Linked DNA regions of Lonchura striata. Each later gene encodes a partner of the first gene's protein in a complex. Links are inferred from orthologs where the notes say so. Each region holds a gene or a part of one and is shown in the gene's direction. Other genes may lie near its edges.

Region 1 (7,336 bases):
GAAGAAGATACCTTGCATCATACTTTGGGAACATTATATTTTCTTAGCACAAAAGGAAATTAAATAACTTAAATAAAAAATATTGCAGTTCAGGTATTGAGATATAATTATGCATACAGTTACATGCTTTATTCAGAAAGAATTTTGCTTTGCTCTATTTACTTTTTCAAAGGCAGAAATTAAAATTCTTACCCACTTTCCTCTGTTTCTTTTGTTAACAACTATATTCAATTTCTCATATATGTTTTTGTGTACTGTGTCTGGTTAAAGACGAGCAAATAAGATGACTAAATTAGATAATTTAAATTAAAATCTGAAAACGAGCAAAATAGAAGGCTTAAGGCTGATCATCATCTCCATAAAACACTGTGCATTCCATACCAAACACAAGAAATTTATCTATTAAGTCCATGCAGCAGCAGCAGCTAAAGATAATCTTACAGAAAAATGAGCCCAGGAGCTGGTGAATGCAGACTCAAAAGGAGGTCATATCAAACAACAGCTATTTGTTGTTAAACCAAGCAAAACAACAAAATCTCTTGGAATAATCGCCTCTCAGGAATGAGGCCATGAAACACACAGCTCCTGAGCAATATCCCAATTTGTCAGATGAAGGTAGAAGCTGTGCAGTTCTAACTACAAGGATGAAATACTCTGTCTCACATAACCATACTGCTGTGAGGCAATGCTAATCAATGAGTTAGAGCTTACACATTCCCTATGTTTTGGAATAAAACACAGGGATCATGGGTGTACTGTCCAAATATAGACTAGATTTATCTACTTAACTATAGCTTCTTTCACTGTCTAGTAGACTATTTTATCTTAGAAGGAAATCCTTTCAGACATCAGGTACTGATCTGTGGCTGTTCCAGGTAGTGATTCAGGGCAGCACTGCTCCACAGCACCATGTAAGACATTGTTATAAAGCACTGCACTGACAACCTTTGTTCTGAATAGACAGAGTTTCTTGGCCACAACAGAGCTAGCACAATCATTCCTCAGCCCTCTTGGGCACTGTAAAAAGAGTTTATGCTATTCCATGATCCTAAGAACTGCTATGTGTGTGAAGCAACTAGAATACAATAATTTATCCCCTGCACCATTGCTGCATAAGAAGTAAACAACTGACATTGCTGAACTGTTGAAAAGCTCTCTTATTATTTCAAAAAAGACTGCATAAGGAAATATTGGTGAACCTGGGCCATGTAGTATTTCCACTTCTGAAAAATTAAAAATCTATACCAATTGGCTTCAAATTTCAAAGGAATGCATGTTAGAATGCTCAGGAGTTGCACTGTTTTTTTTGTAATATTGTCCATGTACAATCAGGTAAAATTTATCCACAGGGTTGTAATAGGAAAAGGTAGTAGAAAAGTCCTAATTATGAAATAAAGTGGGTTTGGGTTAAATAGAACTAAAAAGAGAAGTCAACCTTTATTTTTAAGACTAAGTTATATGTGCAGAAGAGGACATACCATACAATCGTGTTTTCCAGATACAGGGTGATAAAAAGAACAGGAACTTGGGGCTGTTTCATGTTTTTTGCCTATGAATGTAGTGACAGTGTTAAAGGGGAAAAAGGACAGAGAGAACACCCTAAGAAATACTCCTGGTGAAAAGTATAGAAATGTGTGCTCTATGCACATGATTAATTGAAACAAAATCCATGTGAAGTTGAGGTGTCCTACTTGTAGTATCTCCATTTCTGTAACATCTGCCGCTCTCATTATCACATTATTTCCACCTACCATAATCTCTGTTTACTACTTTCTTATCCCTTAATCTGTACTTTCACTTATAAATATCCTAACCACGTGTTATCTCAGAAATCATTCTTTATCCTTGATTTCCAAATCAGAAAAATATCCCTAAGCTTATTAATTTTTATCTCCACTAACTCTGTTCTTTCCTGAGCAGCAGTTGACATTGCTCCCTCTATCACAGGAGAGGTCAGGAACCCTAAAACAAGACTAGGTTTCCATAAGTGACATGAATTGTTTTGTAAAAGCTTTTATCCCACACAGTACCAGTGTGGAAGTCTGCCCAAGAGAACACAAAATGGACTAAGCACCTCAACAACTCAGGAGGGCAGAGAAGCAACAAACACCTCTCAGGTGCCCTGGCATTCTCCATAGCAGTGGGACAATGAAGATGACCAAATAAAATGTCTCTGAGGTCTAATAAAATCTTGAGAACTGATGTTCTTTAAGAAAGAATTCTGTAACATCCTTTACTAGGACTGAAAGTATGCCTACCAATCAGAAGATGAGAAAAATATTTAAGTTATCGTTTGAGTGTTATCTACTTCATTTTTTACATCATTACTTATGGTTTATTCATTGTCAGCACTCAAAGACCCCTGCAAAGAAGAAAATCTGACACATCCAACAAAAATAGAACGTTTGCTACTACAACTTTTCCATTGAGTTTTACAGGAAAAAAGCTTTTTAATTTGCTAAGTATAGTAATAGCTGAGTCTGACTTAAAGTTTTTGCACTCTAATGCTAAAACACCTTCTGTGCTGTAAAATGCTGCTCTTTTTGAGCTCATTCTGGGGGCAGAAGTTCTTGAGATTCTATAGAAATAAAAAATCCTGGACTCACTGGAATGATGAATCTTAATTTGAACAGATTTACCTTGTCAGCTTTTGCGCCTTATGTTTGGACCAAAGTTTATCCTGAGATTCACAAAGTTTTATCGGTTGTGCAGAGTTCTATCCACGAATTTCAGTGAAATCACTGCTTCACCCTATCAGTGCTCCCCAGATGGGGTTGTGGGTCCCAGTCGCACCGCAGCTCAGCTGGATTATCCCAAGGTCCCTTCGACCCCATTTGTTCTGTGATCCTATTATCGGGTAACGGGATCTTTCTTTTGCAATCCAAACAGCGCAACATGTGTGTGGTGGGGAAAGACTCATAAGCATTGCATAGTTTCCTTTGGATTTTTATAATAAAGAGCAAAACAAGTCATAAAACAACCTCTGGCAGGTCACAGATGTGCAGACAGCCCCGTGCCTGGGCTCTGAGCTAGGACAGAGAATTACAGAGTGGGTCAGGCTGGAGGGGGAATCTGGGGGGATCTGTTCCAACCTCCCTGCTCTAGCAGGGTCATCCCAGAGCACATGGCCCGGGATGGCATCCAAATGGTTCTGGAGTATCTCCAGTGGGGAAGGCTCTCTGGGCAACCCGTTCCAGTGCCCGGTCACTGCACAGTGAAGCTCTCTCTCATGTTCAGGTAGAACTATGTCTGCACCAATTTCCCTATTATCCCTCGTCCTCCTGCTTGGTACCACCGGGAACAGCCCGGCTCCATCCTCCTGGCACCCTCTCCCCCATTTAAATACTCATATACATGGATGAAGAAAGGTCCATCAGGAAAGAGAGCGGGATGAGCAGCTTTGAGCCGTGAGGTGGGATAGCTCGTTTGGCTTTGGGTTTGTGGGGTAAAGCTGACGGATGAGTCCAGGTAAGAGCCCGCCCGAGAGCCGACTGCCAGCAGCCAGCAACGGCGGGGCTGCACCCCGAGGTGCTTCCCTGCATCCCGGCAGCACAAACAGCAGGACGGGGGGACTGAGCAGGACGGGGGGACGGAGCGGGACAAGGGGACAGAGCAGGACAAGGGGACGGAGCGGGACAAGGGGACGGAGCGGGACAAGGGGACGGAGCGGGACAAGGGGACGGAGCGGGACAAGGGGACGAGGAGCTCGACCCCCTCCCCCCCCGGGGTACTCCATTGGTACAGCTCAGCCCGGCTCTCCCCCGCCCCGCCGAGCAATGGAACCTCCCGCGCGCGAGCAGTTTAAATTCGAGCCCCTCCCCAGCAACTGCCTGGGGCACGCGCGCGGGGGCGTCACGGGCCGCGCTGCTCTCAGCCCCGGTCCGCCCCCGCTCCCGTTCCGCTCCCGCTGCGTCTCCGCTTCCAGCCCCGCTCCCGCAGCGCTCCCCCCCATTCCGCCCCCCGCCCCAAAACGCCTCGCCGCCGCCGTGCGCACGCGCGGCCGCGCCCGCCGCTCTTCCCGCCGTGCACGCGCGCCCCTCCCCTCTCCCCTCCCGGCGTGGGCGGCGCGCGCGCGGCCGCGCGCCTCCGGCGGGGCGGGGGCGGTGCCGCGCGCGCAGCAGCCTCAGGGCCGGCGGCGGGAGCGGCGGCCCCGGTGCGCGGCCTCGCTCCGCCCGTCCGCAGCGCCGCTGCCCCCGCTCCGCGCTCCCCCGGCCCGGCCTCCCCGCGCCCCTCCCGCTCGCCGCCTCCCCTCTCGGCCCTGAGCCGAGCCCGGCGCGCGGTGCCCGCGACGCCGCCGCGCCCCAGGTGAGGGAGCGGGGGAGCAGAGAGCGAGCGGGGAGCGCTCGGTCCCACTCCCTCCTCAGCGCCGCCCCGCCGCCGAGCCCCGCCGCTCCCTGCCTCGCTTCTCCCGGCGGAGCCGCACAGCCCCGCGCCAAGATGGGCTGCACGCTGAGCGCCGAGGACAAGGCGGCGGTGGAGAGGAGCAAGATGATCGACAGGAACCTGCGGGAGGACGGCGAGAAGGCGGCCAGGGAGGTCAAGCTGCTCCTCTTAGGTAAGGGATGCCGTGAGGGGAGGCTCCTCTTGAGGCGGCCGCTGCCCGGAGCTCCCTCGCCTGCCGAGGGTACAGTTTCATAGGAAGCCTCCGGGCTGGGCGGGGGGCCGTGCTGCCCTCGGACCCCGGGGTGCGTGCTGGGGGCCCCTCAGAGGTTTTGGGGCAGCAGCGTCCTGGAGCAGGTGGAGCCTCGGCTGCTGGAAGGATTAGAGGCAGCGCCCGGGGAAGCGGCGCGGCGTGGGCTGCCCGGGCCCTGGCTTTCATAGGAACGGGATAACGCATGAAACTTCTGACCTGCAGTCTCTGTTCCTCTGATGAAAGGAAGGAAACCTTACGTTGGGGGGATATTTGCTCTTCATGTTTTCTTGTAGACCCGAACAACTCCTGAACTGTTGCTGCAGCGTAAAGTATAAAAAAGTGTCAAAAGAAGGCAAAGCACCATTTAACTTTTGGGTGGGGTTTTTTTTTCGGTTTTTTTTTTTTTTTTTTTTTTTTTTTTTTTTTTTTTTTTTTTTTTGGAACAGTTTCTGGGATCTTACAACGGGAAATACCAGCTTGATGGAGCTACTTACGTGTGTAATATGACTTACTGTCATTGTGCGTTCTTCTTCTTGAAACTTGCCTTTTTTGTGTATTTTAAGATATTCTTGTGTGTAAAGAAAAGGTTATTTTTAAAATTACAAGAAAATAGGAAGTGAGAATTTTAAATAGAGTACATTTGTTGAGGATTAAAACTACTGGAGGTTGGAGACAACTGAATGCTGCAAGATTTGCATTGAATTAATGTTGTAGGAAGTTTCGCAGTATGTTCTGTATAGCTAAACCAGACTGGATCTAATAGCCAGTTAAAATAGCTGCTGAGTTGCAGCTTCTCTCTCAGAGGTGCCGTTTTAGGCAAACTTTTTAAATGATGCACAATATCTCACTCTCCTTGACATTGATTTTGCTCTCCCGTAGTGCTCTATTGACTACAAACGTAGTAGACCTCTTAACTTTGTGTTGCTAAATTCTAAGATGGCTCCAGAAAGGGACAAAAAATTTATTGTAGATGAAGAAATGAAACAAATCCAGAATGGGAAAAACAAAGATCCTAAAATAACTTTCTAGATTTAAAATTTAACTTGTGAGGTAAGCCAGAAACAAAAGCTCGAATTGTTCTCCAGGAATTGGAAGTGGAAGCCTATTGGTGGAAACCTAAATCTGCTCAGTTTTGGGCTGGTACTGTGCCTAGTCCTGAACATCGTTGGAATCCTCAGATTATTTGTGGAAAGCTTTTCCTGTATGTGATAATAGCAATGCTGCAGATGTTGCTGCCTTTTTAAAAAGTGGCAAAGTAAAACTTTGTGTCATCTGGCAAGGCATTTGAAATTAATTTTCAATTTTTTGCTGTTCTGTGTGGAACTTGTAGTGCCTGTAGTTTGGTACTGGTTTTCCTATTTTTATCATAATTCTTGGCTACGGATGACATCTGTTTAAAGATGCTTTAAACTTAAGAATGGATTTTGTCACTATTTTAATGCTCTTACGTACTAAGTCCTATGTTATGAGCTCAAATTTTATAAATTCTCTGTTTCTGATGCTGGAAAGCCTTTCTGCTGGGCTCTCAGGAGAGCTAAGAGCATGGAACAAATGGTCAAATTGCATGTAGGTTCTCAGGGTGCCCTGAGCAGCAGTTCTCTTGGGTTAGCATTTCCTTCTCCCCTGCTAAAAAGAGGTGTGAAGGCTGGCAGCCTGGCTTCTCCTGGGACCAGTGCTGGGATTATTGTTTTAACAATGATTGCCTAAATGTTTAGTGAACTCTGGATGAGCCTTTGTGCATGCACCCATGGATATTTATTTCACATGTTTTGGAATGAAAGTTTTTTGCCTTCCTCTTCCTTGCAAGTCTGTCAGGTGTCTTGAATGTGATGTGAATGCTTTATCTGGTGGCAAAAGTATTTAAAGTTATTTCCACTAGAGTCACTTTCTTCTCACCACTCACTTTCCCAATTGCTTGTTCAGCCCACATGTCATAGTTTATCATCCACTTGGTTGTACTCCTACATCTATTTATGGGTTTGTTCTGCTAAAAAGGTACTGAAATAAAAGGAAAAGTAAAAATTGTGGTCTGCTGCCAGGCAAATGCAATGAGCGAGTGGCAGTTGAAACAACCTTATTTATGTAAAAAAAGGTCATGTAACTGTATACCTATTATTATTATTATAGTTGACCCATTAAATTGGATTTATTCCAGCATATATAAAAAATCTATTTTTGCCTGGTGATTAGAGAAGCCTACTGAAGTTTGAGCTAGAATGCTCAATTGAGGGAAGATGTGTTCGTAAAATTAATCGATTTCTAGACTGGAAACTTAATTTACTCCATCATATGCTTTTCTAAGTTTTTTTTTCTAAAACAGGAAATTGTAGGGATTCAGTTGAGAGAGATGTGACATTGCTGTACCTGAACCCTCACTGTGAACAAAATCGCTGATACCTGTTAAGTTTCTATTTTGTTGTCCTGTCTCTAGGAATAAGCAGATATATTTAATCTACCCAAAATACTATTGAACTGGATTGTCTGAGTTTTTTGTCATATATGTAAATTGGTTCATCACTTCCTAAAATTTTGAATGCAGGTATTAGGAATAAAAATACTGGATTCTAAACATTATTCATGTATAGCTATTTTAGCCTTGTGATTCTGTGCACTTCAATGTGCTATCCCCAGGAGCAGCAGAGCCTTTCCTGGAAAATTTCTGAGAACCATCATTCTTAGAAGTAAGCTGAATTTGACCTTGTA
Region 2 (7,123 bases), on another chromosome or scaffold:
TTTAGTCCTGCAATAACCCTTGGAATAATCTTCCCCAAGCAATCTTCCCCTTTAATCACCTCACACTGCAATACCTAGTCTAAGCTAGTCCTCAAATACCCTCTTCAGTTTCAGCAGAAAGTCATTCACAAGGTTATCTATTCCACCTACTTCCCACACCTATCCAATGATCACAGGGCAATAAATGTGTACAATCCTTGGGAAGCTGATCTCGATTTCTCTCTCTCCCTTAGCTTGAGACATACTCAACCTAAATCCCTTCCCACTCCACATCTCTGCTTTGTCCAATCTATTGATTAAAGTTTCAAAAATGGGTGACTCTTTTCACTGAATTCACAGCAAAAGGATCCTCTTATGTGCCATGGAAATTCAGTGTGACTAAAACATCAATAAATTATTGAGACTGGGATGGCAGATCTCATTTTATGGGCAATTTCCAACAGGTTAAAAGGGGTTGGAAAATTATGGACAACAAAATAATCCTCCTCTAACTAAGGCTTTGATTTCTACATTAAAAATATTAACATTGCATGGAAAAGATGAAACCCAGACCAGAAAGTGTTAATAAGTGAATCTTCTGTTCCTACAGAAGGGAAAGACCCTTCCTGATCAGAGAAGATACCACCCTTTTTGTACATGCTCATGATACCAGTGGACAGACTTTAATTTAAACAGTGGGCTCAAGCTGACTTAAAAATATAGACATATATTTAAAAACCCCTAATTGTATAGAAAGAGGTATAAAAGGTATAAGACTCCAAACCCTACCGTGGTGTACACAGTGAGAACAATCAACTCAGACTGAGTTGAGTTAGAAGTAGGAATGCTATTTGGAAACTGTCCATTTTAGCTATAAGTGTCCCTTGGTTTTGTAGAAATGAGTGCTGAAATAAAAAACACAGAGGAGATATAATCTCTTCCTCAGTGGAATACCTGAAATTCAAGAGATTTTACCAAAGGGATCCTCTGTCCTGAAATTTTATTTGTGCTCATGAAAACTTTTGACTTCTGTGATCAGTTACAGATTTAGAAAGTCAAATCAGCAAATCACAGGGAAAAAAGTGCTTGAATGTATTTCCAGGAAGCAGTCATTTTCCTTCAGAATGAAAAGGAAAAAAAAAAAAAAAAAAAAAAAAAAAAAAAAAAAAAAAAAAAAGACAAGCGAGTTTAGCCTCAGGCAGCCGAGCAATGCATGGAATATTTGACTGCTCCACTATTCAGGCAATTCCTGCAAAACAAATAGAGCTTGCCTTTTAAAAAAATTAGATTGCTTTCAAAAAGAAACACAAGACATGGCTAATTTTCCTAGACATGGAAGAATATTTCCCCAAAATTAAAAATATAAAGGTCTTAAAAATCCAACTGTGAAGACTATATCTCTTCCTTTGAGATGGAGAGCTTTTTGCAACAATTAGTTATTTTATAACTCCAACAATCAATAGGCTTAAATACCTATTTCACTTTCAAAGAGAATTTGGCTAATTGGAAATAAGGCTACTAAAAAGCTGAGTAAGTTCATCCACAGATCGTTTAATGCATCTTAATCAATCATTACGCAAAGCAAAGAAGATTAACATTTATAATTTATCCTTTGACAGACAACACCAAATAATAATTCCAATCTTTGTTACTGATATTAATGAAGAGAGTGGAAATTCAGAGCAGATAAAGAACATGCTCTTTACAGGTTGCAGAGGCAGGAAAGGTACCAGTTTTATTCTGATCTGCTTGTTTTTCTAATGTCAAATGCCAGTGCATCCACCAAAGTCAGATTCTTGTTCCAAAGCCAGAACGCTTCAGTCTGTTTCACATTTTGTGGCAGGCTTATACTTCGGGCCAAGCTCAGGCCATAGCATTCTAATTTTTCTCTAAATCACTTGGTATACTTTTGGGAGTTATTAAATGAAGTGAGCAATGATACATAACAATTGTGTGTGACAGGGAGAAATACATTGTTCCTCTTGTGGGGACAAACTGCAGACCTGGGTAATGCCGGGAGCAAAGCCTACTTTGAAAAGCCACGTTTATGCTCAGGGACAGTTTAAGCTTTCAACAAACAGTTAAAGATAAATCCTGTAGTAATGACAGACAACAAAATGGTACAGTTCTCCTGAAAGCATTTACACAGATTCTGGAAGGATGCCCAGAAAGAGCCTCAGGCATGGAAATAAATTATAATATGTGCAAGTTTCCCCTAACAAGTCCATAAGTCTAGAGTAGTACATAGAAAATGGGCAGTGAGAATAACAACTTTCTGAAAGGAGAAATTGGAACAGAGGCAGATAAAGGGAAACACTGTAACACAAAAGTTATTCTTAAACTATTCTTAAAGATCATTAGTGAAAAATCCTCCTTTGCACTGATGAATACAGAAAATATGCATTTCCTTGGATCAGCTACCTTTTCAGCTTCTGGAGAAAGAAAAAGGAAAATGAAGTGAACTCTCACTTCCATCAAGAATGAGCCTGTCCTGTCAAGAGAACAGTTATTACTCTCCTACGTCAGAATGGCAAAACAACTATTTAGGAGTGATAATTCTCAGAAGAAGGTTCATTTTTGATCCAAGCCATGAAGCCGTGATAACTCCAGCTGTAGTTTGAAAAGGACCATGATGACTTACATATTGCCTACATTAAACAGAAAGCATCTGAAGTAGGGCTGTTTTCTTTTTATTTTTTAAATCACTGTAAATAAGAGCAGCACAAAAAAATCCACATGTATGATTCTATGTTCATTCCAACCAGGACTACTTCAGTTTATTTGAAATTGACTAGGATTTAAAACTGAACAGTAAACTATTTCTAAGAAAAAAAAAATCAAAAAATACAAAGTAATCTTTAGCGTTTTGATCACACCAGTGCATGGTAAGTCTCAAAGAAGCAATGAGCCCAAATAAGTTATTCACAGTTAGAAAAGACAGAAACTTGTCCTGTTTTTCCAACCTAACTCCACAAGGCAAGTTACCTTAGGATCTAATTCTTGAAAAACTGGGGGGCATACCTTCCTCTGAAAGCAGGACAGCGATACAGTGTGACCTGGGTGGCCTGAAAACAATGCGAAGTAGGGCACAAACCCCTCCCGAGTTACGGCTGCCGAGAGCAGCCCTAATTGCCGGCCCCGCTGTGTGCGCCCGGTGCCGGTGGCAGCGGCACGTGGCGGCGGTGCCACGCCGCCAGCCGGGCACGGCGACCCGCGGGCTGTGCCCTCCTCTGCCGCACGCGTCTCGCCTGTTTGTTTGATGCAAATGAGCGTATGGTAGCTGTCACTTTGCGGGGCCCAAAGGGAACGATATGTTTCAAGCGTAATTGCAGAGGGAAGCCCGTCGGAGCCCTTCTGTCAGCCCTGCAGTTTGAGAGGAAAATCCCGCGAAACGCGCCCAGCTTCCGAAGCCGACACTGGCGCGGGCACGTCCCGCCCGTGGCGCTCGCAGTTATCGCCCTTAGCCCTTATTCTCGGCCTGACCGCTGTGCTCAAACGCGAGGCACAAGGCCACGGCGAAGGCAGTGTACGACCCTTTCAGATGTGCTGCCAGGCCGACGGGAGGAATGTGCCAGGAACACTCGTCTGGGCGCACCGTGTGCCTGGCGGCGAGAGAGGCGGGGGGAGCGCTGGCCTTGCGCTGCCAGGAACACAGCGGTCCGAGCCGCGGGGCAGGGAAAAAACAATCAAACCAACTCCCCAGAACAAAACACAAACAACCCCCAGACAAGCGCTCTCCCGGCGGCGGATGGCGGATGTTCGCAGCTGAGCCCTGGGGCAGGAGCAGCGCTTTGGGACAGAGGCTTCTCCACCGCCCTCGCCTGTCCCCGCGGCTCTCCGGGCACGCAAGCTGTCACCGGGGATGGCCGAGAGCGGCCGCCTCCGCTACCCGCGGAGGCTGCCCCCGCCCCGGCAGCCGCCGCCGCTCCGCGCCGCCGCTCCCGCCGGCCACCGCCTCCTCCCTCCCTCGGCAGGCGGGGCTGGGCCCGCCCCCGGGCTTCCCCCACCGCCCGCGAAGGGGAGGGGGCTCTGGTACCGCCCCATCCACGCCCCTCCCGGCGGAGCGGCGCCCGGCGCGCCCCTTAAAGCCGTTCCCGCCCGCCCGCGCGGTCAGTCCGCGGGGCCGCCGCCGGTCACCGCGGGGAGGCGCCGGGACGGGGTGGCCGCGATGCTGGAGAACGGCTCCCTGAGGAACTGCTGTGACCCGGGCGGGCGCGGCCGGCTCGGCTTGGCGGAACGGGAGGCGGCGGCGGCGGGCGCCCCGCGGCCCGCCTGGGTGGTGCCGGTGCTGTCCAGCGTGCTGATCTTCACCACCGTGGTGGACATCCTGGGCAACCTCCTGGTCATCCTCTCCGTCTTCAAGAACCGCAAGCTCCGGAACTCAGGTAAGGGCTTGACCCCCGCACCCTGCCCCGGCGGCGGCAGGGAGCAGCGACTGCCCGGAGTCCCGCCGCTATCCTGGTCCTCGCTTCCAGCTGTCCTGAGGAGCCCAGCCCGCTTGTCGAGTCCGTGCGGGCCGCCTCCTGAAGGCGGGAGACCAGAGCCCCCATCCGTTGCTCTTGCCCTGTAGTGTGTGCCGGGATCCCCAGGGGCTCAGTCACCCTTCCCAGCGCACCGCCTCTGCGCTCTCCTTGGGGTCCGTCCTGCCCTCCGTTAGAGAGCGCAGGTCGTTCCGTGGTTTCTAATGAGGCACTATGTGGTCTCTATGGAGCTCCCGAGGAGGGGAATCGGTGCCATCCGGCGACGAAAAGCGTGCCCAAAGTGGTCGGAGGCGTGAAGGAGGAGCTTTTAAAACTTGCTCAAGAGTCCTAAAGATACGGTGCTGTGCATGCGTGGGGAAGCGGCTCAGCCCGATCTCTGGAGTCTGCATCAGAGTTCACGGTAGTCTTCACAAAATCGCCTTCTTGTCTCCTCATCGCATATCCTTCAGACAGAACGTAACAAATAAAGTGGGGTGTTGTCTTTGAATTGTGCCTTTAATTTCTCCTTGTGTGTGCTAGAATGTTGCTCTGCGGTTTTTACCTGCTAAACTTACTGGCTTTATCTCCTCCTATCTGCCGGGCTGCTTACAACGTGTTTCAAACTACAAAACTCTGTAGTTTCTCACCAGCTTCTCTGGCCCTGATTGGCGCACGTCCCTCTGCGTGCGGATCCTACAGCCCCTCCGGCTCCCCGCGTCGATGGAGCCGACTGCTCCCTGATGCGCAGAGCTGGGCACACCTGCGCTCCGCTGGATGCAGTATAAAGTGCTACCCCCGAAACCGTGGTGTATCTACTATAGTTCTTGTAGTTTTTAGCTGTTCCCGGAACTCCTCATTCCTTCGAGTTCCCTCGTTTTGACATGCGCACGCAGGTCGGGATAACCAAACTTTGCTGGGAGCTGGCAGGAGTCCGAAGCACTACGTTCCCCGTTCTCGGAACCAGAGGGTTCTGCCATCGATCCTCTGTGTCAGCGGGTGCTCCCTTGCCACTGGGAAGGAGGAAGAGCTACTGGCTTGTTTCTCCTGGGGGTGTTGGTTTGGGGTTTTTTCAACCAGTGTCTCTTCCCAAGTGCTCTGTCGTGTTTCACGTGCGGTGACTAGAGCTCCTGCTAATGGGGAGTAGGCACTTGCTTTGAGTGAAATCGTGCTTAGGGGCAAAAGCAGTTTATGGAGGGGTAAGTCTTGCTCTCCCCAATCTCTGCACGTCTAGCTGCAGGCGGGGGATGCCGGCAAGCCCCGTTTACACGGGGCTGAGAGATCACACCCCGCCCCGAGCAGCACCGCACCTGAGAACGTCTGGAAGGGTGGTTTGGCTGAACGAGGGAAGACATGGGGGTGGCCGCGGCTAGTCCATGCGCTTGTGCTTGGTCTGTCCGTCCCAGGGGACAAGCCGAGAGAAGCAGAGCCGTGCCGGGGCCGGCAGTGCCGGCACGCCCGGAGCCGGAGCCCTGCGCGCCCCGAGCGGGACCGCGGCCGCCGAGCGGCGCCGGGCGCTGCCCCGGGGCAGCGGAGCGGGGCTGGGCTGGGCTGGGCTGGGCTGGGCTGGGCTGGGGAAGGGAGTCCCGCGGGACCCGCCGTGACTCACCGGCCCCTCCCGGCCCCCTCCGTGCCGGCGGAAGGCGAGTTCCCGAGGGATTCCGGGGGCAGGAAGCGCCCAGGGAACAGGCTCTCGCTGGAGAGGGCGGCCGGCAAATCCCTTCCAGGGAGAGGAAGAGAGGGACTCTCTTCTGAAACTTTCCCTTCACCCAGACAACAGCAAAGGGGAGGGTTTGGACTGGAAGAGAGTGATGCCTAGAAGAGTAACTTTCAAGATACTGATCAAAGTATTCTGTGGCTCTGTGGCACCCTGGGACTGCTGGGGAAAAAAAATACACCAAAAAAACCACCACAAAACAACAACAAAAAACCCCCAAACATAGTCGTTTTACCTAGTTCAAATACCTGCTAATCGCGATAATCCTTAATGGGATGTCGCTGACCCTGTCCCAAAGATCTCTTTATCTTTGATAAGTACTGTGAAAAACAGCAGGGAATTCTTTCTACATAATCTTCATAAGGTTAAATACCTTTTCAATTGCCAGTTCTTTGTTTTACGTCAGGGAGACATGACTCTTGGAGGTGAAACTGAAAGGGCATAGTTTGGTAAATGTCTACAGAAGTCTTTTCAGGTAAAATTTCTTAGGGAGGAAGCACAGTGGAAGAGGACTGGAAACTGATGTGGATGGAGTGATAGAGGGGATGGGAAAGTGGCAGAGAGCTAAGGCAGTACTTGGGAGCCCTTACAATTTGACAAAGAAAGAAGGAAACGCAGGTGGACTTGCAGGTTTCTATTCTGAGCAAATGAGAAACAATGTGTTTGTACTTGCGAGGGGAGTGAATGCAGTAGATAGCAAAATGGTGAGGGAAAACTGCATGAAAAGAGTGAGACCTTGTCAGAGAAGAAAAAGATGAAGTTAGGGGAATGGTTATGACAGGAAGACATCTAGATGTCTGAAGGAAGGAAGAACTATACATCATGAGTACTCAGTTCCCTTTGAAGAAGCTAATGAGAGATTTTTCTTGGATGAGAGTTTGGGACTTCAAATAAGTCACAGGTATATAAGGAATAAATTAACCAGTTCTGCCTACTTCTGTGGCACAAGAAGTATTCATGCCTTCAGAAA
Region 3 (7,395 bases), on another chromosome or scaffold:
GCCTGCCTGCAGTGAGACCCCAACAGCACAGCTCAGCCTGGCTCTTCCCCTCTTCCTTCTCCCTGCCTCCCCATCCCAATCTCTTGCTGCATCTTCCCCTTATTCCACTGGAACAATATAAAACCACAAAAATACTCCTGCCAGGAGCTCTCCTCAGAGCTGTGCACTGGGCACATACACAAGGGCACTTTGCACCCTGTCACCAAACCCTTGTTTCCCCATTCCCCACCCCATTTCTGGGGCTGAGACCTTTGGTTCTGTGTTTTCCAAAGGTGCTGGCATTTTGCAAATAACCCAGAAACAGCAGCAGCAATCCCTGGGCTGATGGGGTGTGTGTATTTTGCTGCTGAGGGTGAAGCCAGCCAGTGGCTGTAGCCCCCCAAAAGCTGGCAAAGGGTGGCTGTGGGTGCCTTAGCCCAGCCATGTCACCAAACCCTTGTTTTACCAATTCCCCACCCCATTTCTGTAGCTTGGGGCTGAAAACTTTGTGTTTTCCAATTTTGCTGGCATTTTGCAAATACAGCACTCCCTGGGGCTGATGGGGGTGTGTGTGGGGGGGGGTGTCTGCTGATGAAGGTGAAGCCAGCCAGTGGCTGTAGCCCCCCAAAAGCTGGCAGAGGGTGGCTGTGGGTGCCTTCTCAGCCCAGCCACCTCCCAGCCTCAGAAGGCAGCACAGCACCTGCCTGGGCTGCCAGGAGCTTTGGGATGGAGGTGAGACCATCCTGATGGCCGGGAGGTGGGCTGGCGCTGGCAGGGCTGTGGCACGGCTCTGGGCATTGCGACACGGATGAGGTTTTTGTATTCCAAAACAAGGGCTGATAAAGGAGGGCACAGGGCCGGAGCCGCGGGAGGCTGCTAAGCTAAATGAGACAGGAAGCACGTAATTCAATCAGATACAGAGCAGCATGAAGACATCTGAGTACACACGCCGGGCTGGGCTCGGAGGCTATTGCATAACCCTGGGAAGAGCTGTGCAAGATGAAATATCTCACCTAGAGCAGCCCATGCTGCCCAGCTGCCTGTCCTGGAGCAGCCCCATCGGAGGGGACAGGCAGAAAAGCTGCCCCAGGGAGCAGAGGGCTCAGCTGGTGGCTGTGGCACAGCGGCCACAGGGCCTGTCCCAGCCCTGGTGAGGAGGAAATTGCTGGAACAGCCCAATCCCACTCCTGTGCCTGGGCTCAGACCTGCACACATAGATTTGGCACTCTATGTGTCCCAGAGCCAGCTCTGTGGCAAACACCTTTGTGCCTCTTCTGGCTGAGCTGCTGTGGTCCCCAAAAAACCACAGCCTTTGACTGACGCCTTCCCTGGGGTTGTTCTCTCACCACGGGCAGTTCCTCAGCTCTGCTTCACTGTCAGCTTGGCCTCACCTGAGCCCAGAGCTTCAAAAGCTGCCACAGGGGACAAGGTAAAACCACACGCACACACGCTTGTCCAATGCACTTCATTTCTCTGGGGAAAAGCAGCAGGGAAGCAGGGCCTGGAGCAAAGAGAGGGGCTCAGCAGGCTGCAGCCTCAGGGCAGAGATGTGCACAGTTTCTCTGCTCTGGCTCACACCCCCCAGTTGCTGCCATCCCAGCTGTGTTTTTGCCATAGTTAATTTGCCTGGCTGCTCCAGGCAGCACGTGGTTCCCAGCACGGTGGCTGTGCCAGGCTCTGAGTTGCAGCCAGGAATCATCTGTCCCGTGTGCCTGCCACACGTGGCCAGGCTCCTGGAGGTTTTCCTCCTGGTATGACCTGCTCAGAGCGTGCCTCCAACACCAGGGAGAGTTACCAGAGCACCCTGTGCCTTCGCAGATCTGCGGCTGCAAGGATGGGCTGCAGTGCTAGAGGGGAAAGAGACAGAGGTGAACATTTCCACAGAATTTGTGTGGAAAAACCAGCGAGGAGATGTAGATGTAGGGGATGAGGAGAAGGGGCATTGCCTCCCTAAAGCCTCTGGTCACCTGCTGCAGCAGGGAGGTGAGTGCCAAGCTGCTTTGGCATGATCTCCAGATCTCCTTTCCAGCCCTGACTCTGTGCAACAGTTGAGTGTGGGTGCCAGCAGCCTGTGCCCACCCCCAGGTGCCACTGCTGCTGTGACCCCAGTGCTCCCAGCGTGGTGCTGAGCTGGGGTGGAGCTCCAGGCTGGTGTGGCACTTCCAAAAGTGATGCCAAGCACACACGCTGTGGGTGTGCACAGACATTTTTGGGTGTGCACAGACATTTTTGGGTGTGCACAGACATTCTTGGGTGTGCACAGACACTCTCAGCAGCTGTACAGGCAAAGGCAACCTTCCAGCCCTCTCTCCTCAAGTCTTCTATTTCTTCCCTGAAATCCACAGCAAAGATCACAGCTCTAATTTTTGTTTTAAGGCACAGAGAAGACTTGAATTAGAGCTTTGTGTAGCTCCAGCCATTTATTTGTAGCTGAATATCTGCTAACCAAGAAGGCTTAAACATGATTATTCAAGTGAAAATCCCCAGAGCCATCAGGAAAGAGGCTGCTCTTACATGAGGAGCTAAAAGTGTGTGTTCAGTCATTAGTCCTGATGCATCCTTCCTGTCTGTCCATGAGCAAGACCATTCTGTGGCTTCTTGTAAGTGATGAGAGAAAGACAGGACTCTACTGCTCGGTGGGGCTGAGGTGCCTCATGCCCCTCTCAGTCTCCCACCCAGATATCCTCATGCCCCTGCTCCCAAAGGCAGCTTGAGAGGAGCCTTTCTCCTGCCCAGATGACTTTGTGCTGCCACTCTCCTGGCACAGTTCATCTCTCCTGGGAAAGATGCTCTGGCAATGTGCTGTGTGTGATGAATGCAGGCAGCAAGGGTAGGAGACAACTTGAGCTCTGGAAAAATGTCTGAGCTGGGAATAGCAGGGAGGAAGGGAGAGGATGAGGAGTGGAAGTGGCAGCTGTGGCCTTGTGCTTGGCTGGCCATGAGCAGGGGGGTTAAGGTCACTCCCTTCCAGAGCCACTGAGCTGGGAATTGCAGGGAGGGCAGCTCTGGGATCCTGTGAGCCTGAGCTCACCACGGGGCCTGTTGGTTCTCAGTGACCTCTGGTTCTTGTAGCTCCAGACCCTGGGGCTCGCTGGTGTGTGCTGGTTTAACCCTTTCTCTTCATCTTTCTCTTTTGCTGGCTCAGTCCTTCACCTCCAGTTTCCAAACTCTCCCTGGCTTTTAATCTCCTTTCAATTTTCAGGTTTCATCAGGATCCTCCATTATCAGATCCTTTCCCGGGTTTTGGCTCTTTTGATGTGCATCCCTTCCCCTCCCTCCTCTCACCACACACCCAGCAGGGGATTTGTGTCAAAGAAGTGCAACTTCAGCCAGCACATTGTCCTTATATATTCCAGCTGTGAACGGGCAGTGCCATTAAGAGGGAAGTGGAAACATTAAACCCTCCTGCTCCATCTGTATCCCCCCAGGAAGCACAAACCCTCCTGACCCCGCTGGGGGCTGCCACCACTGGGGAAGTGCGGGGAGGTTTGGAAGCCCTGGGGCAGCGGGATGGAGCAGAGGATGGAGCAGGGGATGGAGCAGGGATGGAGCAGGGATGGAGCAGGGGATGGAGCAGGGGATGGATCAGCGGGATGGATCAGTGGGATGGAGCAGGAGATGGAGCAGCGGGATGGGGCAGGGGATGGGGCAGGGGATGGGGCAGGGGATGGGGCAGGGGATGGGGCAGGGGATGGAGCAGGGGATGGGGCAGAGGATGGAGCAGGGGATGGAGCAGGAGATGGAGCAGGGGATGGGGCAGGGGATGGAGGCAGGGATGGAGCAGAGGATGGAGCAGGGGATGGAGCAGGGGATGGAGCAGGAGATGGAGCAGGGGATGGGGCAGGGGATGGAGGCAGGGATGGAGCAGAGGATGGAGCAGGGGATGGGGCAGGGGATGGAGCAGTGGGATGGGGCAGGGGATGGGGCAGGGGATGGAGCAGGGGATGGATCAGCGGGATGGATCAGTGGGATGGGGCAGGGGATGGGGCAGGGGATGGAGGCAGGGATGGAGCAGAGGATGGAGCAGGGGATGGGGCAGGGGATGGAGCAGTGGATGGAGCAGGGGATGGAGCAGTGGATGGAGCAGGGGATGGAGCAGAGGATGGAGCTGACGACTCTCGGCGTCTGTCCTGTCCCTCGCTCTCCCACCCGCCGGTTAATCAGCAGGCTCCACACGTCGCTGGACACGAGCCTGTTTTTTCCTGTTCCCGGGGAAGCGGCTATGACTGTGATGCTCAAGGACGAGCCTGGGCCTCCCACTCCCCCCTCGCTTAGCAGCACACACCAACTTACCTAAGCTCTCCTCTTCACGGGCGCTGCCTGAGCAGCTCTTGGTTGGCTGGAGGCTGGAGTGATGCCGGTCCCCCTCCCCGCTCTCCCGCCTCCCACCCGATATAAAGCGCGGCTCCGCGCCGCCGTCGCAGCCGCCAGCACGGGTCCGCGGGGCGGCTGGTGTCGCAGCCCTCCTGTCGCACCCCCTGCCAGCCCCGGGAGGAGCCGATGAGTTGCTGGATGCCTGGGTGCCCAGCTCTCAGCATGTGCCGGGGCTTAGCCGCGCTCCCCATCACTTGCCTGGAAAGGTAAGGCGCTTCTGGGAGGCAGAGGGGTCGCTGGAAGAGACGCGCCCGGACCGGCCTCTGCTGCTGCCGATGTGATGGTAGGGTAGAACCCGGGGTGCAGAAAACACGCAGCCAAGTCATTTGTTGTGGCTGCATCCCTTCTGCTCCGCAGGAGGGGAACGCGGAGGTGAAACAAGCGGAGGGAGAGGAGGCTGGACAGGGCTGTACAAACACACCAGGTTTTTCTGGCTCTGCCTCTGCACAACTTGCAGGAGTATTTTTGTCAGCACGGCCGAACTCTTTAAGTGACATGTTGCTCCTCCCGCGAAGCCCCACGCTGCCGGCTTGACATTTAAACCCTTCTTTTTGTACGGGCGCCTTGGGACGCCTGAACGAGCCGCGGGCACGCAAATAGCAGCTGGGCCACACGCAGCCTCGGGGACACCCTGGGGACAGGCAGGAGCCGCTTCTCCTCCCGGCAGGGAGGTGCCTCCTCCGCGGAGCCGCGGGGACAGTCAGGAGCACTCCAGCCTCTGGCACAGGAGCATCCCAGCCTCTGGCACAGGAGCATCCCAGCCTCTGGCACAGGAGCATCCCAGCTTTTGGCACAGGAGCATCCCAGCCCCTGGCACAGGAGCATCCCAGCTCTGGCACAGGAGCACCCCAGCCTCTGGCACAGGAGCATCCCAGCCTCTGGCACAGGAGAATCCCAGCCCCTGGCACAGGAGCATCCCAGCCTCTGGCACAGGAGCATCCCAGCCTCTGGCACAGGAGAATCCCAGCCCCTGGCACAGGAGCATCCCTGCCTTTGGCACAGGAGCATCCCAGCCCCTGGCACAGGAGCATCCCAGCCTCTGGCATAGGAGCATCCCAGCCTCTGGCACAGGAACACCCCAGCCCCTGGCACAGGAGAATCCCAGCCCCTGGCACAGGAGAATCGCTGCCTTTGGCACAGGAGCATCCCAGCCCCTGGCACAGGAGAATCCCAGCCTCTGGCACAGGAGCATCCGTGCTGCCCCTGCCTCCTAAAGCCATGGGGTAGGTGGATGGCGCCGCTGCGGAGCGCTGCCCTCTCCATGGCCTGGTGAAAGGCTCCTGGGGGCCCAAGGGCACCCCGAAAAAGAGAGCAGGGGAGCAGCAGCCTGGCAGCAGCAGGAGATGCTCCCGCTGTGCCGGGAGGAAAGAAACCGCTGTGTTTTTCCAGCGGTTTGGGAGCACTGGGGGAGAGCGGGGTGGGAAAAGGAACCAGCTCCGGGGAGCTGGGGGGGCTCCAGCTGGGCACTCAGCAGCTTTTACCTGCCCCAGAGAAAAGAGCTCGTCGTGCTTTGTATTCCATGTGTCTGCCTGGGAAGCGAGTAGGAGAAACCGGTCCCCCAGGCTTAATGCGCGGTTGCCAGGGAGCAGGAAAAGCAATGGGGGAGCATTTATTTCACACACCAGGGAGCAAAGACGTGGCTGGAGCTAGGGAGCGAGGGCTGACCCCCCGAGCCCGTGGGGTGCAGCCCCTGCCGGCGGAGGCAGCAGACCGATGGTCCGGAGATCCCATCTCACCCCTCCCTCTCTCCCTTCCTCCCTTCCAGAGCCAAGGATCTGAAGAGCCGCTTGGGCATCCTGCTTCATAAAGCCGAGCTGGGACACAAGGCGGGCAGCTCCGGCAAGCTGCAGCTGGGCTCTAGGCGCAGGTAAGCCAAGCCAAGCTCTGCCCCGGCCGCAGCCCGGGCCGAGCCCCCACGGAGCAGCCCTTGGCGAGGATGCTGCAGCCGGCTGCGCAGCGCGGAGCTCAGCTCCCCTCCGCGCGGTCCCACCCCGGCGGGCCGGGAAGGCGGATCGCTTCCCTGCTCTGGCGCCTATAAAACCCGCCGGGGGAGCGGATGCTCTGGCATTAGGCACAGAGAGCTAGAGGCAAGTTCCTTGGCAAGAGGCAAGGAACCCGCAGGGCTCCTGCACTTCCTGGTGTCTCACACCAGCGGCTGGGATCCCCGGGGAATACAGGCAGCATTAAACACGGAACACTAAATATTGCTGCTGAGGGCAGGGGGTCTTCTGCAGGGGAGGCTCTGCTGGGCCAGCAGGAAAAGGCTCTTCTGAGCATCCCCTAGAGCAGCATGGAGATGAGGTCGGGTGAGCCATCAGGGAAGGTGAAAGAAAGGGAAGAGAGAGGAAAGAGAGCCCACAGGTAATGGATATCGGCCCCTGGCTTTGGTCTCCTGCTGAATGCTGCTGTCTCCCGGTGATGGAGCTGCACAGCTGAAGTGCTCCCAGCCCTCACTGCTGGACAGTGAGCCTCACATCCTTTTTGTCTTTTCCAGAGACTCCTCCCGAGAGGTGCTGGAATGGAGGGAGTCCTTTGACCAGCTCCTCAAGAGCAAAAGTGAGTAGCATCTTGTTTTCTTCTCTTGGTGAGAGTGTGTAGGACAAATATACTCATAGTGAGCTGTATGCCTGGAGTCACTGTAAGATGAAATCTCACCTCCTGCTCAAATGAGGTGTTATAGGACCTAGAAAGAGTCCCTTTCCTGCCCAGATCTGAGGCACGGGGCTCATTGCCTGCCCCATGAAGCTGTGCCCTTTCCTCCTGGCTGGGTTTTTTTGGGGGGGCAGAAGTGTTGTCTTGCTGCTTGCTGTCACAGGAGGGGAAACATCGTGGTATTCCCAAAGCACCCCATTCTCCACAATGGGGAGAGGCAGTGTCTGCTCTCGGTGTCTGGTGGAAACAGCCATGCAGGCACCTCCCCTCAGGCTTGTTCAGACAACTGCATTGCTGCCCTGTCTGTCTGTCCTGTGCCTCCGGGGATGGCTCTTCCACAGGTGCAGGAATTCAGCAGTTTGACTGGATAACCTTGCCCTTTCCCTACTC
Region 4 (7,999 bases), on another chromosome or scaffold:
TGACTGGATAATTGCACATGTCACACCCATCTTCAAGGAGGGCAAGAAGAGAATCTTGACAGTTACAACGCTCACCTCAATCCCTGGGAAAGTTACAGAGCAAAACTCCTAGGAGCCATTGCCAGCTACATGATGGACAAGGCAGCTGCTAATATCCCATATGGATTTACCAAGAGTGACTCTGGTACTGTGGGTAAGGAAGGGGAAGATGGCAAATGTTGTACAGTCTGACTTTAGGATGGCCTTTGACTTGGTTTCTTCTTCAGCCCTTAAAGAAAAACAGGGATATGCACTGCATAAGCAGTGAAGATTTGAGGGAATCTGGCTACACTGCTGGACTCAAAGGGTTCTGATCAGCAGCACCAACTTTAATGGCAAGCACTTACTAGCAGCTTCTCTCATGGATCCATACTGGGATGAACACTATTTATTGTCTTTATTAAACTACCTGGATGACAAAGTGCACTCCCAACAAGCTAGTGAGTGAAATCAAAATAGAGCGAGCAGTCAATACTTTGGAGAGCAGGATCACATTCAGCTATTCCTTGATGGACTTGAGAAATGAGTCAACATTAGGAATGTTAGGGAGTTCAACAGAAGTAATAGTGCACTGAGTCTTCCATCTGGGTTGGAAAAACCTTGGGCAATGGCATAGACTGGCTAGAAAAGACTTGCAGATAAGGAGCTGGAGAATCCTTTGAGTGTTAGTCAGCCTTTGAGTGCTACTTTATCCTTGCAGGAAAGGTCAATCACATACAGGGCAGCATTATCAATATGTTGCCATAAGGCCAAAAGAAGTAATTGCTCAGCACTTCTGAGACTAAATCTAAATCATTGTGTCCACTTTAGGGCTTCATGCTTCAAGAAAGGTATTAATATACTAGAGCAACTCCAGACAGGATAATGTATTTTACCAGGCTGCCCAGAGTTACAATCTCCATCTTCAGAGATACAACTTGGACATTCTCGTTGGACATGTTTTGAACCCAGGACTGAACTAGATGACTGTCAGAGATCCTGTCAAACCTAAACTACCTTATTGCTCTGTGAAAAATCAAAGCCTTATTTCCAGAGCTCATGACTGCTGAAGGAATTTCTGTTCCTGTATTTCACTGGGCAGCTACAAACATCCAACCACATACTGCAAATAAAAGGACTGGCTCTTAACTCGTTAAGTTATGTTAATTAGTTGTTTGGTATCATAGATCAGATTCAACATCTACAAGTGGAAAACATTCTTACTGAAGGACTACTTCAGTGTTTTCTTTTCCTTCACTTCTTTCTTATCCTCCTGTATTTGATTTTCCTCTCATCTCTTTTAGTCTCCTTTTCTGTGCTTTCCCTCCTTTTGCAGCGACCTCCAACCCAGCCCTTTGTTCATTATACTATAAGACTATCAGGAACATCCTTTCACGTGCCATGATTAACTTCTACTAGAAATCTGTGATGTCTGTGTGCAAAGAAGGGCTATAGATGCAAGCATATTCTGACCTTGAACTGAGTTTTTGCCCACTTCATATTTAGGAAGTTAATTTTAGTCACATTTTCATAGAAAATGAAATTTTCAAACAACCCAGAAAACTCTAAAACCTGAAAACTGAATTCTGGAGTTTGAACATTTACATGTCCATCCCAAAGATGTACTATAGTAGCCATCTCTACAATAATTATATCCTCATTTTGAAGAGCACATTAAATTTCAACATTTAAAGTGAAACAGAAACACAGAGACAAGATAGGAACATTTTACAGCATATACATCTATGAGATTGGGTTTGTACAAAGAAATAAAAAAAGACATATACAAACAACATCCTTGAAAAAAATAAATCAGAGATGTAAAAATTGTCTGAGAATAAAAAATCAGGGGCAGGTACATCTTACAAGAGAAATGCACTATTTAAAGTCTAAAAGGGTGACTATTAAATGCAGATTAAAATAAAACATTAGCACTAGCAAATATATGCACACAACAAGAAAAATGGTTCTAAAATGCATGAACAAAGGGTTAGAAAGCTAAATAAATGTAGCTTCTGCAAAAATGCTTGCTGCTGTCAACAGAAGTTCTGTGGGATTAAGTCTGCAAAAAGAATCTATTTTATTCAGAATGACTCACTACACTTACTAACTGCGGTGCTGTGTTTTTCTTCATTCAAGTTCTCCAAAAAACCATCAAACTGACAAATTCACAACCATGTATTTTTTAGGGGACTAAAAATATCACTTATAAAAAACAGCTGCAGATGATACAGGCACGCAAGCAGTGCACTTGGAATTCAAGTTACTAAGTAATTTCAGTGACCTGCATTCCTACAGTCAGCCCAAACACTGCCATATTACACTTGAGGTTCCAGCCTTTATTCTGAACATGCTAAATATTCACAATAACATTCCTTAAAATTAAGTAACTCTGTGGAATGTGACTACCTTTGATGGTTGCCTTGGACTCAAAAGACCCTCCTACTGCACCCAATCCTTTCACTACACATAAGCAGGACAGCCCATTGCCTGAGGTCTCTCAATAGCAGCAAAAGCATTAGGCTTTGTTACCCAGTATTCACTAGCTAATACCAATGTTTCACATAAAAGCAGCAAGAATGCAGAAAAAATTTAAAAATGCATCTGGAGGTGAAAAGAAAGGTTCCTCCTGTCCATGGATATCCCTGCAGAATCTGTGCAACTTGCAGTTCATTAAAATTTGAGGCTAACAATCTAGCCAACAGTTTACAATTCCCTCATGAAGGTGGAAGTCAGACACCTATCCTAAAGTAAGCTTTAAATTTTCATGCCAAGACTATCAAACAATATATTTTGTAACCTGCGGGGTTCCATGTTCCTCATCTTGCCCGTCAAAATCTGAACAGTGTTTGTACATATATGGTAAACACAAATGTATGTCTGCACATATATGGTAAACACAAACACCTTCTGACACACAGCAATTTTTAAATTTACATGTCCAAATCCTGGAGCAGTCAAACAGATATTGGACCAAGAGCAGCTGTATCAGAACAGAAAACAAACAGCTAGAAGGATAAACAGTTAGTGAAAGAATGCAACCTGCACCATTTATCTCAAGCAATTAGCTTGAGCTAATTTCTCATCATGCTAGGCTGGATTGGTATCTAATATACCAGTGTGACTCAAAGGGTACAATCTAGTACTGTATCTTAATCAAATGAAGGCAATATTTTATCAGATCAAAGCAGGAAACACATACTGGTGTTGTTTATAAAGATAAAACAATTCTGAAACAAACTCTTCCTTTAATAAGAAGCTGGGGTACTAATGTCAGCCGTTGAGCAAAGACATATTTGCGTATCTCAAAATTTCCATTTCTACAGCAGACCTTAGATGCTGGACAGGGAACCACACTGTGGTATTACTTTGTGTACATATGAAACAAGTTCCCTGTGCAATTTCCCTTTAAGCAGTCCTGAATTCTCATTACTTCATTTAAAGCAATTTTACTCACTGATGAAGCTGAATAATTTAAAAATTATTCAAAAACAAGTAAGGAAAAACAAATCCAGAATAAAATAATCCAGAAGAAAAATAATCCAGAATATAATCGGTAAATTTCCCCAAAGACTTTCTGAATGTGATGTTAGACATTAAGACTGAGGAGCTGAAAGCCCTGGATAGAGCCCTTCAGCTCTTTGGCATCTAAAGGGAATCAAGTCGTGTACAGTGGGAGTTCAACACAAGAAAAATCAGTGTACGGTGTCAACCAAGTGCTCCAAGTAGGTACAAGAGTAGCTCACAAGGCTCTGTGCTCTGCTATAGCAAAAACATTTCCTATAATACAAAGTAACTTTGCCATTAGACCTGTATTTATTTGAGGTTTTCTGATGAGAGGGATGTGTTAGTAGAGATCCTAGCTCTCTACACACCTTCACCACTACAATGTCAGCCAACACCTGTGCTGTGAATACAGCCCTAACATTTCCACAGAGGCATCCTGCACTCTGCATGGGTTGGACCCGCCAAAAATACCCTTATCATGCCTTGTTGGTTGTTTAAAATCAGGCCACTAAATGAGGTCATGAAACAGTCCTTTGCAGTCATGAATGATCAGTATCAGTTTCTGGGGAAAATCCCAGCTAGCTCTCAACCACAGCCTCTAACAGCAAACGAAAGGATTTTTCATCTACCTCAAATCTCCAAAACCCTCTTAACAAACACACAATTTAACTTTTACATTAAAAGTTCTTCACCCAGAAACAAGGTTATTTCAGGTACAAATGGGTTAACTCACAATTTGTCATCTCATTCCCTTCCTACTTCCTAGCCACTCATTCTTGTCAATATTATTTTAGGGGATTCAAATTTGTGCTTTAGAAGCTTTTGATCTTTCATGTATTTACCATACTTTTTCATTATCATTATTATCACTGCTTAAAATGTAATAAACAACTTACAAAGGCAGACATTTTTACTAATCTCTCAAAGACACAGAGTTCTTTAATTCCCTCATTGATTTTTGAAAGGCATTTCTGTAAATCCTCATCATTATGATACTAAAACCATACTGGGAATGTCCACGGGCGTTTGAGACATCTGCTTTAACACCACATCTCGGTATGTCTCAGTTTTGAGGTTTCCTCGTGCTGCATCAGATCTTGTTGGTAAGAAGAAGTTCTAAGTATGTACTGATTACACAGCTCTTTGCTGTAAATTAAGGTATTTTTAACTTCAAATGGCAAATAAACAAAGTTTTTCTCATATGAGAGGGATTTTAGCCGGTCAACAATTAGTCAAGTAAACCTCTGGGTGAAGTCCCTTCTGCGAAAGTCGGTAGTGTGTAACTTCAGGGGGGAGGTGGAAGTGTTGTTTCTAATTACTCTCCTTGAGCAGACTAATTGTAAAAGGATCAAAAATAGATGCTTTCACATCCCATAAAACAGTAGGCAGCAAATCAAGACCGACACATAAACAGGGCTGGAGCTTTTTTAAGCACTTGAAAAAACCCTACCCCTCCCACAAAGGACTCACGTAATCACTCTTGAGAACAATGTGCAAGGATAAACCTTCTCAGTCAAGCCATCCTGTTAATGCCCTTAACTGCTCAGAGGATCCAAGAAGCTACAGAGATGTAAGTACAGAAAACAACTACTTTTTACTGTTTTCCTTTGCCACTGAGCAATAGCAAACAATTCCAGAAATATCTCCTTTTTTGCATTATACTGGATATTTTCATGTGGCAGTAAGGATAAATGATCTTGTATGGGAAAGGCCCATGAAAGAAATTCTCTGATATTTTATATTCCCTTATTAATATGCTACTAGTAGTTTCCACTTAAAGGATCTGTTGATCTACAGCATCAACAAGTTCTTCCAACTCCTTTCTCATAATACAGCCTTCTGACAATCACAGGGAAACATTTCATACTGCCTCAACTTAGACAATTTTTTAGCAACTAATTTAAATTATACTAGTGCAGAAGTAACTACTGTAGAAGTAGTAAGGGAAGCACTGAAGCTCTAAAGTCACTGAACCTCACAGAATAATAGTAAGAGGGAGCCTTAAAACAAATTCATGCTGTGCTTGTGAATGCATAGCTTGCTTTTATCACATGCGTTCCTTGTCTATGAAAACAGCCTTTATTATCAGCTCGAAAACTTCTCACTCTTCTCATGTAACATTGCAACAGAGCATTTTAAGAGTTCAAAGCTTTATGAGCTAATTCCTCTTTTTAACTTCTAGTGCACATTTCTTGAAAGGTTTTTAGAAGGCATTCTTCTTCTCAACTGCAATGACCAACATCTCTCTCCTTATTACTGATCTTTAGATATGTTACAAGTGGTATGATTTTTATACAGCTTCCCAATTTAAAAGGATACATTTTTCCTATTATACTAGCAAAACAAGACAGTCCCACAGAAAATAATTCAACTATCTTTTATCTAAAAAAATAAGAGTACTTGCCTTTGAGGAGAAAATACAAGAGATCTGTCTAACATCTTCATGATTGCTCCTGAAGAGACAAGGCAATTGAAAATTTACCTAGCAATTAGTCTTTAAGAGCTCAAATCTCATTTCTTTCTGGTACCACGTATAGATAATAATAAACTTAATAAAGAAGCTGTAATCTGAAGCTGTAAACCCTAAAATTAAATACTATACCTGTATGGATTTAATGTAACTCAGAAAAAAAAACCCAAACTCAAATAGGTGCACATGTTTTCTAGTACTAAAATACAAATCCTCATCTGACAACTTTTTTCTTCTGCTAGAAAGAATGTCATTTGCAGTGGCTCACACTTTTATTTTGCTTATTTGCTCTAGTTTTAGGCTCTCTCCTTTTTACATTTGGTACACCTAAGCAAGTATAAACTAAAGGGAAGTTAATAATCTTAGCATCAGTACAGCTCTTCATGTCAGTATGTGTTTTTGACAGAGATTATTTATGTTAGATAGGTCTCACACTTTTTATAGAACACATCACCCTTGTAAAGAGATATCCAACAGATAAGACCAGAATGTACCCTTCAAATTACTTCCACTTTTTCTTTAATTAGTTATGCACTTCAACTCAACTTCTTTTTTTTCCATCTCACTTAATGTAGGTTCTACTATTTTTTAGCAACACATATAACTGTCATACAACAACTGTCATGCAAAATCATAGTAGTAGACAAAAGCAATACCATAAAGATCCCACAGTCTTGTGCATATTCTGTTAAGAAGCTAAAGAATATTCTAATTCCTTATAGCCACTGTTAAAACAATTTAAGGTGCTGTAAAGACAATATTTGGGATTCTCTGATGTGTGTATTACAAATTTGGGTTTACTATGCCAACAAATTTGGATCTATACCAAAGAGGGATAAAAGTACTAGCCTGGAAACTCTCTCATCAAAATTAACTGTGGGTTGTGACCTGAGGACTCAATCCTCAGGTCATTAGGTTGACTCACCAGCCTTTAGAACACAAAATTCAACAGCTTTTGAAAAGAAATTAACAAAAAGCACTAGAAACATATGAGTGTTATAGCGTTAGAAAGAAAGAGGAAGCTTTAGGACATGCCTGTCTCTTGTGTCAGCTTTTATTAAATTACATGCAGTCCTCAGTTGCCAGTCCACACATCATATTATGCAGCTTAGGTATATGTTCTTTCTATTTTAACTAAGTGTTCTACTATGCAACTTAGCCCACACACTTTTTAATACACATAACTTAGTTGAAATCAAGCCTTTTTCTCAAACAGAGGAAACACTCTACAATAGAGATCACCTGTACGGTAAAATAGCAATACAAACTGTAAATATGTCTGGTCAATAGAAAAAAAAAAATTGAGATTAAGAAAAAAATTAAATCTACAAAAACACAGTACTGTGTATTTTCAATTTTCTACTGTTTTAAAACAATGTAAGATCTACACAGATTATATCTATAGAGGACTGTAAGATCAGTGAATCTTGCACATAAATATCTTTCCTGACCATTCCTTTAAAATAATCTATACTCTTTATGCATAGAAAAACAACATTAACCCCCAACATGATTTGTTAAAGAAATATTGTCCGTCTCACAGTGATTAAACCATACTATGTGTAGAGAGACAGGAGAGATCTTTCTACTGAACTGCTGTGCCTTTCCAAGAATATAATTAGATTCCTTAAATTAGCAACTGGACCTGGGACAAATGGACCAGGGATTCATCTTCAAAGAATGAAAATTATGAAGGGACACAGAGAAATCACATTAGATTACAATACAGAGTAAAAGCCTTCCACATGTCCCCTCTTCAGCCGAAAAGACAGATGGTGCTCCTCAGCAAAAGCAGGAGATGAGAAAAAGAAGAAATTAAATTAGCATTCAGAGAGAGCTTTGTACCACTGCTTGCACACAATCCCAACCCATGTAATCTAAGGTGTAATACTGCAACTGCTGGCTCCCAGCTTAAGTCTGTGCTTCTTAACAGTTAAATGTATGTAATATTATTATACTACATATAAAGCTCATCACACATGAACATGTCTGTGAAGCAGAGCT

Evidence for each region.
Region 2: the proteins of GNAI1 (region 1) and MTNR1B are in contact, whole or in part, in a cryo-EM structure (PDB 7VH0), measured with the Homo sapiens proteins. The link is inferred for Lonchura striata from reciprocal best matches to the Homo sapiens genes GNAI1 and MTNR1B. Residues at the interface, in NP_002060.4 of Homo sapiens: Arg24, Arg32, Glu318, Ile319, Tyr320, Phe334, Asp337, Ala338, Asp341, Ile344, Lys345, Asn347, Leu348, Lys349, Asp350, Cys351, Gly352, Leu353, Phe354; in NP_005950.1 of Homo sapiens: Arg138, Tyr141, Ile142, His149, Arg150, Arg154, Ile223, Val227, Ala230, Arg231, Lys233, Ala234, Lys235, Thr252, Met253, Asn312, Asn314.
Region 3: the proteins of GNAI1 (region 1) and regulator of G-protein signaling 16 are in contact, whole or in part, in a crystal structure (PDB 2IK8), measured with the Homo sapiens proteins. The link is inferred for Lonchura striata from reciprocal best matches to the Homo sapiens genes GNAI1 and RGS16. Residues at the interface, in NP_002060.4 of Homo sapiens: Val179, Lys180, Thr181, Thr182, Gly183, Ile184, Val185, Gln204, Ser206, Glu207, Lys209, Lys210, His213, Ala235, Glu236, Asp237, Glu238; in NP_002919.3 of Homo sapiens: Glu86, Phe87, Ser88, Glu90, Asn91, Ala126, Pro127, Glu129, Val130, Asn131, Ile132, Asp133, His134, Leu162, Lys165, Asp166, Ser167, Arg170.
Region 4: the proteins of GNAI1 (region 1) and GPR183 are in contact, whole or in part, in a cryo-EM structure (PDB 7TUZ), measured with the Homo sapiens proteins. The link is inferred for Lonchura striata from reciprocal best matches to the Homo sapiens genes GNAI1 and GPR183. Residues at the interface, in NP_002060.4 of Homo sapiens: Arg24, Glu28, Arg32, Glu318, Tyr320, Phe334, Asp337, Ala338, Thr340, Asp341, Ile344, Asn347, Leu348, Asp350, Cys351, Gly352, Leu353, Phe354; in NP_004942.1 of Homo sapiens: Asn64, Thr66, Arg129, Ala132, Val133, Pro136, Leu137, Asn140, Lys141, Arg144, Ile219, Lys222, Leu223, Thr226, Asn230, Pro231, Leu232, Thr233, Ser236, Val238, Lys241, Ala242, Thr245, Ile246, Ile249, Ala311, Cys312, Lys313.

Annotation. Positions count from the first base shown.
Region 1 is NC_134607.1:62,429,401-62,436,736, forward strand, and holds the start of GNAI1 (guanine nucleotide-binding protein G(i) subunit alpha-1), read left to right. Parts: upstream 1-4,318; 5' UTR 4,319-4,437; coding exon 4,438-4,555; intron 4,556-7,336. UniProt on the Homo sapiens protein: Guanine nucleotide-binding proteins (G proteins) function as transducers downstream of G protein-coupled receptors (GPCRs) in numerous signaling cascades.
Region 2 is NC_134604.1:38,877,110-38,884,232, forward strand, and holds the start of MTNR1B (melatonin receptor type 1B), read left to right. Parts: upstream 1-4,110; 5' UTR 4,111-4,147; coding exon 4,148-4,364; intron 4,365-7,123.
Region 3 is NC_134611.1:1,692,679-1,700,073, forward strand, and holds the start of regulator of G-protein signaling 16, read left to right. Parts: upstream 1-4,390; 5' UTR 4,391-4,479; coding exon 4,480-4,559; intron 4,560-6,118; coding exon 6,119-6,220; intron 6,221-6,401; exon of another isoform or gene 6,402-6,643; coding exon of another isoform or gene 6,644-6,714; intron 6,715-6,847; coding exon 6,848-6,909; intron 6,910-7,395. UniProt on the Homo sapiens protein: Regulates G protein-coupled receptor signaling cascades. Inhibits signal transduction by increasing the GTPase activity of G protein alpha subunits, thereby driving them into their inactive GDP-bound form.
Region 4 is NC_134604.1:78,150,030-78,158,028, reverse strand, and holds the start of GPR183 (G-protein coupled receptor 183), read left to right. Parts: upstream 1-4,987; 5' UTR 4,988-5,054; coding exon 5,055-5,095; intron 5,096-7,999. UniProt on the Homo sapiens protein: G-protein coupled receptor expressed in lymphocytes that acts as a chemotactic receptor for B-cells, T-cells, splenic dendritic cells, monocytes/macrophages and astrocytes.